2 linked regions of the Caenorhabditis elegans genome follow. The protein of the gene in region 2 interacts with the protein of the main gene of each other region in a pairwise test. Each region holds a gene or a part of one and is shown on either strand. Other genes may lie near its edges.

Region 1 (4,075 bases), on a different chromosome or scaffold from region 2:
TTCCCTGCTACGTCTTTTTTTAAAACTTTGAAGCGAAATCCCGTAATTTCACGAGATTACCTTCACAAAGGCACACGGATTTATTCAAATGGGTCTCAGCGCGCAGCGTAAAAAAAGTAATTTTATAGAAAACTGCAAGGAAAATAAACAAATCGCAAAAATTTGCAAATAATTACCATAAACTTTTTTGCGCGCCGAGACCCATCTGAATTAATCTGTGCGCCTTTAAGTAGGCACGGTGAAAGATTGTAACATTATGATTTTTTTTTAATAAAAATTATTTTTTCAGGTCCCTCCCGGCCGAGCACGTAACTATCGTGACGACATCACTGTTATTGTGATCCATTTCAATGAAACCTTCCTCGACGGTCACGAAGACGATGAAGAATAACTCTTAAAATTAATGCCATGCACACATTTTTATAGTCTTTACTGGTATTATCCCTATTTTAATTTTTGTAATCTCCCCTCTGTAGAGACGACGACTTTATGCCAAAGAGTCTCCCCGGTCTTTGTCTAGGTATCTTTTCTTGTATATAATAGTTGCATTTATTGTTAATTGGTGCTCAAGATCAATGATTCTTTTCTTTTCTCACATCGAAAAAAAAACATACAATCACAATAATTTAATGATTCAGTTAGTACATATCAAAGTGAGACAAAGGAATGAGATGTTATGTTTGACAATTTGGTGAAATTTTGGAGTTGGAGATCTGTCGATTATCGCATGTATCCTGGCTGGGCTCCTGGTGGAGGATATCCTTCGTATCCGTGTGGTGGTGGTGGTGGACCTCCAGGATATCCAGGCATTCCTGAAAGAAAATAAATTTCAGTGAATTTATAGTTTGAGGTGCAGAATCTTTGAGATTGGATTGGGATATAAAAATTTCAGAATTATTTTTAGAATGTACAAAAAGGCCAAAATTCCCCTGAAGTTTTTTTTCACCAATTTTTATTTTTTCGGGAAATTCTGGGAATTTTTTAACTCAAATAAGGTATTTTTCCACAATAATTACCTTGCGGCGGGTAAGGATAAGGCATTCGCTGTCCACTCATCTGCGGTGCTGGCTGTCCAAACGGTGGATACACAGGTGGCGGAGCTTGTCCATTAGGCTGTTGTTGCTGCTGCCGCATTTGTGCTTGATAAGCTTGATGATTCATCATCTCGGGTGGTACACCACCACCCATTGGCGGAGGAGCAAATCCGTGAGGCGGCTGCATTGGACCACCTGGACTTGGTGCCGCCTGTGGTGGCATCATTTGTTGACGATGGTGAGCGGCAGGAAGTCCTTGTTGAGGATGTGGATGGCCTTGTTGTGGTGAATGTTGTGGTTGTTGTTGTTGGAGATGTGGTGCCGGAGGACCAGAAGCTCCGGGTTGAGGCTGTTGTTGGTTAGGATCTGGAAGAGCGGCAGCAGCGGTACCATCATCTTTCAGCTGGCTTAGAAGGAATGGGTCTGCGAGATTTGAAAGATGTAACAAGTTCCGATGTAAAAGTTGTTGGTGTTTGATGGCTTCGTCAGCACGGCTCTGAAATGATTTTTTTATGATTAGAGGAGGAGTAATCGGTGCTCGAATTTCGAAATAAATTTTTAAAAAACGAAAAAATTCCATTAAATCTGAAAAATCGTTTGAATTACCGCTCTATGGTCTCTAAACTCCGCCCATGGAGCCATTCCGCACTTCAATTTTGAGGCAGAATTTTTTGTGTTTTTTTCTAATTTTTAATGAATAAAAAGGTCATAAACGTTTTTTTTTTGTATTTAAAAATTATTCAATAGAAAAAAAACATTGTTATTGTAGAGCTCTATAGAGTTCCGCGAAATTTAACAAAATCGATACGATTTTTTAAAAACAATTTTGCACATTTATGACGTATTTCTTTATTAAAAATTAGAAAAACAACACAAAAAAGATAAATTTGTGCCAAAATTGAAAAGTGCGACACGGTTCTATGGACGGTATTTATAGACCATAGTGCGGTAATTCAAATGAGGAACAGTTGAAAAATCGCCAAAATCATCTTTTTTTTCATACTTAGCAATTTTTACGATTTTCTTTTGTGGTATTTCGGCATTTGGGAATAGTGAGTATTTTAAGGTACTCCTTTTTTGCAAAAAAAAACAAACAAACCTGATTTAAATATTCCTGTATAATATCGATCAGCCTTGAGTTTTCATCGAGTAACTTCTGCACAGTTGACTGTTGATCTGGAACATTTGTTCGCATCGCTGGAGGTAGATGTGCCGTTGACATCTGGTGATTTATAAGAAATATAGAAAATAAACAGGGAAATCAAATTTTAAAAAAATACAAGTTGGATATTTTTGAAACCAACAAGAAACCAATACAATAATAGTTTTCAGTACAATATCGAGATAAATCTTCATTTTCTACACAAAAAAAAACAAAATCTAAATAGAAGCGGTTCAGTTTACTTCGTCTTTTAATAGAAATTTACTTAGTTCCAATTCTGGTTCTTCTGTTCCATGAGAAGTTTTGTCCGTAATTCTTTGGCTTAATCTTGCGCTCATGTGGCTCCTCGACGTCAAACTCCCAGCGATTCTTTTCACAGAAAGCGATAGCGTCCTCTTTTGTGGCAAACTTGAGATCCATTCCAACATTGGAGAGTGGATCCGCACTAAATTTTTTTTTTAAACTTTAAACTTCATTAAGATGCTACTCACGTTCCAGACCATCCCATCAATGGATTTTCCCATCTTTGACGATTATCCAGCTCAATGGTCCAGGACTTGGTATTACCCCAAGCACTTTGTGTAGTCTCTCTTGCTGGACGGAAGATGCGAGCGGTACGGGCATCTTGGTGATCAAGTGGAACACCTCCGATATCCATTGTCTCATCGGATGATACTTTTACTGGAGTCTGAAATATTTATTTCAATAAAAATGTCAAGTATAAACAATTTAAGTGCAATTCGCTGAATTTCGTGTATTAAAACAGGAAAAATCAACATTTAAATCTTACTTTTTGAGACGGTTTGTCAAGAATATCGTTGAGCTCAACCTTTTTGGCATCATGCGATCTTGTGACCGGTAGGTTGTCCTTTCCAGTCGAGAGGCAACGGAAAGCCGTGTTTCCCGCCGAAAGGCAACGAGAGGCTCCAGCACGAAGCATCTGTAAATTACTCCATTAATAAATAATTTAAAATTACAATACTGTGACGGATTAGAAAAAATAGAAAAGAATATTTAATTAAAATCAATAAATTGAGAGGAAAAAATATGAAAATAAAAAAAATGTTCGCGTTTTCAACGACACTCCGGTATAACGGTACCGCGTGTTGTTTATCGTAAATCAGATGTTTTTTGAGCTGAATTCATTTTTTAATTCGTTCATAATTTTAGGTCTAAAACTATAATTCAATAAAACTATAATTCAATTTAAACCATACAGATTGTTCTTTTACATTTAATTAATCAATTTAAAAGTATTTCCTAATAGAATTTCTCATAATTCACGAGACCCCATTGTGTTTTGATTTTTTTGACAGCTAGTGCTTGTACGAGAACACATACCATTCCCTTCTTGTGACTCATGTCACTTTTAATATTTATCACAATGATTGCCTTACAGTCTAAGTACATTCTTCACCCTTTGTCTCCCGTTGTAATATCCTTTCTAATTCTCTTGTGAGCTGTTCTTCTGACCTCAACCACCTTTTAATGTTCTTGGATAATAAACTTCATGAAAATTGTCAGTTTTTACACTTGTAACCACTCTTAAATTACCGCTTTCACAACACTTGTTTTAGTTTTCAGAATGTCAAGCTCCAGCGAGACCCAAGTCAACGTAGACACTGAAGAGGAAAGCTCGGTTCAAACATTGGAAGAATCAGAAGAAGATGAACAAGGAGGTGAGGAAGACGAAGAAGATGAAGAAGAAGAAGAAATAGACGAGGATCACTGGGTGGTAATACTGCAATTTGACTGAAACAGAAATACATTCAACTTTTTTTCAGGTCGAAAAAGTACAAGAAATGCGGTACAATGGAAAATTGAAAAGAGTCGAGTTTCTCGTTTTATGGCAAGCTGATAAATCGACATCTTGGGAGCC
Region 2 (7,315 bases):
ATAATTCACTCGTTCCGAAAGAAATTATTTTTTGTCGAAGATGATTCATAAGTTCACGGATCTATAAGTCTATGAATTCTATTTGATTGTATTAATACATGTATTTGATTCCTATGTCTATTTTTACTTGATTACGGCTCTATTCGCCCTTTTTTAAATAAACAATTTTTTGATAAGTTTAGAGAGAATACTATTCATTGTCGGCATCTCATCCTTGGCAATTTTCTTATTTTTCAACAATTTTTCGTTAAAAAAAAGTCGGAACGCCATCCGTTGATCTACAATCAGCATCCACTTCTTGTCATTTTATTGTAAAATTCAACTACCATATTTTTTTGCGCGCTGAGACCCAACAATAAGAATAAATCTGTGCACCTTTAATAAGGCGAATTTTGGGCAGATTTCAGCAATGAAGATCGTTAGTATATATACGTATAAGTCAGAATTCTCTGAAAGTAGACGATTACCGTATTTCCTCGATTATAAATAATATATGACATTATTTGAAAATAAAATGTACATTTTCTTCAAAGTTTCAAAATTAAATGACACAAAAGATATTAAGTTATTCAAAGTTAATCAAGAGATTTAAGTTCGGTAAGAAGATATTGTAATCGTGCGATAATTGATTTTTCTCCGAATGACAGGTCGGATATCAAGGATGGCATTTGAGATACGGTAAAGTTGGGTATGGTTTTGAGAGCTTCATTATAGCTGGTCAAAAGAGATATGTCATCTTTTCTGGTCCAAAGCTGGAAAATGTATAATGTATCGTTTATCTGAAAGTTTCATGATAGACTAACTCGTTCAGTAATTTCCAATTGGGTATAGGTTTCGTCGTCATTTCGAATGCAAAATTCTCCACATTTTACAACTAAATTTGAAGGTGGTTCATTCTTTGACGCCCGATAAACACTTCCCATTACTTGATCGATATCATCCACCGTCTCAAATCGCGGAGGAATGCTATTCTGAAATATTCCTGATTTAAATTTTTAAAAAAGAAGATCAAGTTTTTACCCAGTCACGCTTCTCTCGTTTCGACATTGTCTCTAGTCCAGTCAAGTCAATGTATTCGTAATTTTCAAGGCGTGGTCTAGCTTTGTACGGAAGACACCAGAATCTTGACTCCAATTTCTTCCACAATGGGCGGTCTTGACCAAATAATTCATAAAATCGTTTGGTTGCTTGCTCGTCGGTCATATTTGGTTTATCCTCTAAAAAGCTTTGAATATATCGAAAAAGTCCTTTCAATGATGGTTCCTTCAGTTTCGCAGCAGTAATATAACGCTAAAAGTTAAATTAAATAATGAAATATTTTAGACAGAATATGCTACGTACTTCAATGTCCATAATCATTTCAATCGCTACTTTATATGATTGATAATTATGATCACATTGTAAGTCTGAAATGACAGCTTCTGGTGGAGCATTGAGAAGAACGAGATTCAGAAGTTCGGGATGATTAGCCAGGATAATAATTGTTCGTGTGACTTTCTGCAATTAAATATACAAATAATGAAATGAATTTTTGAAAAACCTCAAAATCAGTCAAGTTTTCATCAGTAATTGCTTCTTTGAAACGCTGATATGTATCAGTGTGCATGAAAAGTCTTTGATTTACGTCTTCAATTACTTTTCTCATGATATTTTCTTTCTGCTTGTCATGAAGTTGCTCATCATCCAGTCCAACAGATCCCATCGCTTCCTAAAATTGAATAAAATTGCATACAAAAGGAATAGTTAATTTAAAACTAACTCTTTCAATTCTGGTCCTCTTTCTGGAAGGGGCTAAATTCGTAATTCCAGCCTTCACTTCTTTTTTCTGAAATATTTAATTGAATTTAAATAAATTTTATAAAAGTTTTTTGAACATACAAATCTTAATGGTGGTCTAGAATTGACAAGACCTTGTTTAATTGGAGCCTCTTCTTCTTCAATATCTTCAATAATACATTCCTCAACGTCTTCCTCATACAATGGTACCATATCGAGACCTGGCATAGACGAATCATCTTCAATTGCTGATTCTTGTGGAGTTCTTTGATGAGAAGGTACAGGTATTTCTTCAGGTAATGATGAAGAGTTTGAAAATTCTCCAAAATCAGAACAGTATCCCATTGGTCTCTGGCATGATGTTGATTGGAAAACGATCTCCTCAGTATCCAGTGATGTAGCTTTTCCCAGCGATGAAAAATCGATTGGTTCAGAAGATTCAGAAGCAGAGAACCCTCGTGGTGTCTGTGGATTTTCATCGGTAACAGCATACGGTGTTTGAGGCCACATAAGACTATTCGACTCCAAGTCCATGAAATAATCGTCGAAGTCATCAGGAGATCGACGTCCTGGTGTTGGAGGAATCGGATACGAGAAACACGAGTTCGAATTCGTTTCATATTTACTTGCTGTTATTTCAACATATGATTTTTTGAGTGTGCCAACGTCGACGTCTTCATAACTCACGGAACACGTTGTGGTAGTAATGTGACACGAAGTGTTCAATGTTGGTTGATCAGACATTGGTAGAGGTCTTGGAAATTTTGAAGTTTCCTGATTGTTTATGGACTCCAAACTATCAATTGATGACGTTGAAGGCATCAATTCTTTCTCGTGTGTTCCGTTATTATCTACATTGGAATCACCCGAAACATTTGATAATGCGGATATTGTTTGACCGCCACAACTATTCTTTTGACTATCAGCGATCCGCTTTTCAGCTTCTTCAAGTTGAATCATCGTACTGAGCTTCATCGGGGTGGGATTTTTTCGTCTTTTTGATGGGGATATCTTCAATAAAAATCAAATAAGTTTTCGTAAGTAACATGTATTTCCTCTATTAGTATCGCACCTCGCATTTCAATTTTGGCTCGAGTTAATTAAATGACATAAAAATGTTATACCGCAAAACATTCGATTTTTCAAACGTTTCGATTGATTCTGCATTTAAAGCCTGAAATTCGAGTAAATGAAAGAAAAACAAATGAGCAATTTGACAATTTTTTATAAGCCTAAAAGTTAGCTGAAACCAACTGAGATAACGTTGAATGAGGTGCAATACTAATAGAGAATACACAGTAATCAACTCTTCACCTCGTTCTGTTTAATCAATTGATGTACAAGATCTTCTATATGTTCTCTTCCCATTATTATCTTCCGTCCATCAGGCGCTGTGCCCATGTTCACGAACTCATCGTCTTCTCCTTCTTCTCCAGATTCAAAAGTCGCTTCCGAAGCTTCTTGATCTTGCCTATCTTTATTTTTTACAGGAGTCAACACCATCGTGGAAACATGCTTACGAAGGATTTTTCGTTCTTCTGTGACATTAAATGTTTCCTGAAACCGACGATACCATCCTGGCTGCGAAGCTGGAGGCCATTGACAGATCGGAGTATCTGATTCCTGCCAAGATTTCAATGGCAATACAAGTTTGCACACTCCTTTTTCCGCAGCCTGAAAATAAATGTTTTTTTTAATCTGAAGATGGAAAAAAATAACCTGCATTATTTGATGAATTGGGTTCTTGTCCGACCTTCGCATTGACTTTAAATGTGTTCGAATTTTGTACGAACTTCTAGCCGGTAGACAATGTTGTTGAATAGCAGTGTACCTATCTATCATTTCTTTTTCCCCGCGCCTGGGAAGATGAGCAAATTGTAATAAAGCGACAGCTAACATCAGATCTTCTTCACTCAAAAATGGAATAGGAGTTTCAATAAAAAAAGGTTGTCTTGAAGGCAGTAGAGCTGGATATCGAATAGCGTTGCTTCTGGACAAGACGACGGCAGCTTCCGGCCTTAATGCAATTCCACCGTATCCTTCTGTATTTTCAGCATACTTAAGAAAACTTTCATCGACTGCATCAAAAGCATTTATATCATGACACGATTCTATGGCAGCATCCAGATTGCGTACATCAAATACAGTGGGATAAATTTTCTGTTGTCGAATATCATCAAGTTCGTTCATCATTAGCTGAGAACTATTTCTAACATGAGACAAGTTTACATCGTGATGACATGTAACAACTAATTGAGTGAGAAGTTGAACGTGCTGTTCCAGTTGCATGTTCAGTTGCTGAAGTTCTTGAGGACGAAATGTGGCAAGAGAGTCTTTGAGGAGAGAACATGATTCCGATGAAGATGATATTGAAGTATTTATGCGTTCGTACACTTCAGCATCCTGAATATTTTAAATTATTTGAATATGTGTGTTCCGCAACAATTTTTAATAATTTTCTGTGTAGTTCATGATTACGCGGCAATTCCCCACAATCAGCCAGTGTGGCATGTTCTCACAATACTTTTATTAAAATTTGTGCTGAAAATATAGAAACATAATTTAATAAAAAACTTTGTGAGAACATGCCATACTGGCTCATTTTGTAGAAATACCTGGTTTAGTTGCATTAATATTCGAAAACTAATAAACTTGCCTTCACTTTCTGACTTTTCCTATGTTCTTCTCCGTTTATTGCTTCTTCTGGAAATGCGTTCAAAGGAATTTCTTTTTCAGCCAATAAAGTATCAATCATTAGTGCTTTTAACTCGTGTCGTGGAATTTGTGTTGTTTTATCTTGCCGCGTTTCATCCCAATCTTCTACGTTGAGGCCATCATCAGCACATACATTATAATCTTCATCATCTGGATCATCTTCAGTATCGAGAACTTCCAGATTATCATTATCTGGAATTCGTTAATTTGGCAGTGATTTATTTGTTCTCACTTGAATATCTTACCTTTTTCTGTTCGATTAATTCCTGTAACGAAATCTCGATAAAATCCATCATCATCTACATTGTCAAGAGTTGGAATTGGAGCAACAGATTCAGCACGTGTATCATTCAGAGTCATATTTAAAACATAATCCTCTTCGTTCTGAACGTCTTCTGATGTTTCGTCAAACAACAAAGCATGCATTGTATCGTTTTGACCACTTGTGCATGCTTCCGATCCAGTGATTTCATGTTCTCCATCTTCTTCCAACTCATCCTGCTCCTCATCGTCCTCATCTTCTCCTTCGTCTTCTATTTCCTCCTCGTCATCATTTTCTTCATCTTCTTCACTTCCAGCATTTAATTTATTTCTCTAAATACAACAAACTTTATTTTCAGCAATTAAAGTGAGCTACTCACCGTCGACGTGTCATTTTCTTCAATGTAGTCGTCATCGTATTCATCATCTTCTTCGTATTCCAAATCAAGAAAACTTTTCGGACCTCTATCTTCAATGCGGAGAGCGCCGAACTGGAAACTTTTCAGTTTTCTTCAGAAAAATTATAAATTCTTACCTTTTTAGGAGTATTGACTGTAGATGAAGCACCTGAGTCATCGGGTTTTTTTCTTGATCGCATATTTCTGACGCTTGGAAGATCATCGTTTTCTCGAATTCCAAGAAGAACGTCAATTGTAGAAGGATATTTAATAAGATGGTGAAGAATAGATCGAACGTTTAGAGACGACAAATTCATCGATTTTGCCTTGTTCTCCAATATTTCATCAGTTGCTTGAAGTAAACGGAACATTTCATCGTCTCCTTTTTCTTTTTCAGTTTCTCTAAAATTATAAGTTGATTCGTTTTTTTTTTAAACAAAATTAACCGTGTTTGATTGGGATCAGTTGCAGTTGAAGTTGATGGCTGATCATCTATTGATTCATTGTTTTCTTCTGCGGTGTCTTCCATTCTGTAGAAATAAAATATTAATTTCTGATGAAATAAAATTGATTTAAACGTTTTTTCAATAGAAAATATAGACATTCAGCTTATTTTTGCAATTATCTGGAAGTTTAGCATTTAAATTGCACTTAAAATAATATAAATGTTCTTTTAAAAATTTCATCGAACAAGAAAACTGGATTTACATTTGAATTTAACGATTTTTACTTCTATAAAAATGAAAATCAGAATGAAAACAGAAACAATTAATTCAAAAAACATATTCTCCGTCTCTTCTTTGCCGAATTATTCTCGTCGGAGCGAGGTTGCATTCACGGCCACGGCCACCTCCTGTTGAATTATTTGTGCCATGGAACTACAGTAAGACTACAGTATTCTCTTAAATATAAAAATAAAGGAATAACCAAATTTATTGGCACGCATTTAATAATATGAGATTTGAGAAAACATTTTCTTAAACTGTACAACCTGTAAATGTTTCAAAAAGTTAGAAGTTTATGTATGCGCTTTCAACATTATAAAAATGTGGTCCCTGGTCTTCTTTCTTCAAATGGTGGTATTTATTAATTCTGGGTTCAAAATGAAACGGATATCGTAAGTACCCAGTTTCTCGCAGGTTTAAGTTTTCCCGATTCCCACAGTTTTTCATTCACTCGTCTTCTTCGTTTCTTTTCCGCAAATTTGAACAATTAGTCATCGACCATCTGCCTCCGGATCACCGATACGACAGAAAGCCGTTCCCATTTTTCACACGAATTTGCATTTTCAAAAGAAAAAGTAATTGTCACTTTTCACCAACATTCTCAAAACTCCCGTCTGTTTTGGATTAACAGATTCATGTAATTTGCCCCAGGTTCCCGGGATAGAAATTGAATACTTCTTATAAAATTGTTTTTTTTTTCGAATTTTTGAATTATAAGCGCTTCCCTAGAAAGACTTCAAACATAACGTTTCAAAAATGTATTAGTGCAAGCAAAAATTATGAACATGCTGCTTTTTTTTAACTTGATAAGCTCCACTTTTACATTGGCATTTTTCAAAACGGAAACATTTTTTTGTTCTACTCATCTTTACTATTTTCAAAACCAATAAAAAAGTTAAAATAAATATTTATACTGTTTACGATATTTGAAATTTCTATAAACTAGAATATTTAACTATATTGGGAATGGTATTATTCGAACGGTTTCTTATTTCTCTATAAATTTCAAGGAACAAAGATTTTGGTTAATTGCCAAACTTTTGCAAACTTTGCTATTTTTTTCTAAATTTCGAGCATTTTCGTAGCTTGCAATGTCTAAAGTCAAATTATTAATAGTAAAAGAAACGTTATAATAAAATAAAAACTCGTAGTAGAATATTTACAATTACCGTATGGTCTCTAATAGTCTTACACTCCTCTTTTTGCTTGACCACTAATACTATGTGGAGACTTCAGCAATAACTGATGAAATTTTGCGAAAAAATATATATATTTTCATTGTTTGAACGGTATGGAGTTAAGTTTTCTATTAAAAGTTTGACACTTTCCAAAGTCATAGTACCTTCGAAAGTTAGTCTTGCAGCCTCTATTAGTCTTACACACCTACGGACCAATTGAAAATTAGTCTTGCAGGCAAGATTAATAGAGGAAAAACGGTAT

The links. Proteins that work in one complex are often made in the same cells at the same time.
Region 1: the proteins of gon-4 (region 2) and ZK973.9 interact in a two-hybrid assay, tested with the Caenorhabditis elegans proteins (one large-scale study listed by BioGRID).

What each region holds. Positions count from the first base shown.
Region 1 is NC_003279.8:4,369,883-4,373,957, forward strand, and holds ZK973.9 (SS18 N-terminal domain-containing protein), read right to left. Parts: upstream 2,257-4,075; 5' UTR 2,230-2,256; coding exon 2,134-2,229; intron 1,531-2,133; coding exon 1,017-1,530; intron 813-1,016; coding exon 721-812; 3' UTR 537-720; downstream 1-536. Other genes in the region: pdp-1 (PPM-type phosphatase domain-containing protein), read left to right, coding at 290-391; lpd-5 (NADH dehydrogenase [ubiquinone] iron-sulfur protein 4, mitochondrial), read right to left, coding at 2,458-2,641, 2,688-2,884, 2,987-3,136; cec-10 (Chromo domain-containing protein), read left to right, coding at 3,782-3,931, 3,981-4,075.
Region 2 is NC_003282.8:10,196,184-10,203,498, reverse strand, and holds gon-4 (GON-4-like protein), read right to left. Parts: upstream 5,683-7,315; 5' UTR 5,680-5,682; coding exon 5,597-5,679; intron 5,553-5,596; coding exon 5,288-5,552; intron 5,244-5,287; coding exon 5,133-5,243; intron 5,086-5,132; coding exon 4,737-5,085; intron 4,684-4,736; coding exon 4,433-4,683; intron 4,180-4,432; coding exon 3,496-4,179; intron 3,451-3,495; coding exon 3,091-3,450; intron 2,788-3,090; coding exon 1,879-2,787; intron 1,826-1,878; coding exon 1,760-1,825; intron 1,709-1,759; coding exon 1,541-1,708; intron 1,498-1,540; coding exon 1,342-1,497; intron 1,291-1,341; coding exon 1,021-1,290; intron 972-1,020; coding exon 804-971; coding exon of another isoform or gene 800-803; intron 753-799; coding exon 576-752; 3' UTR 506-575; downstream 1-505.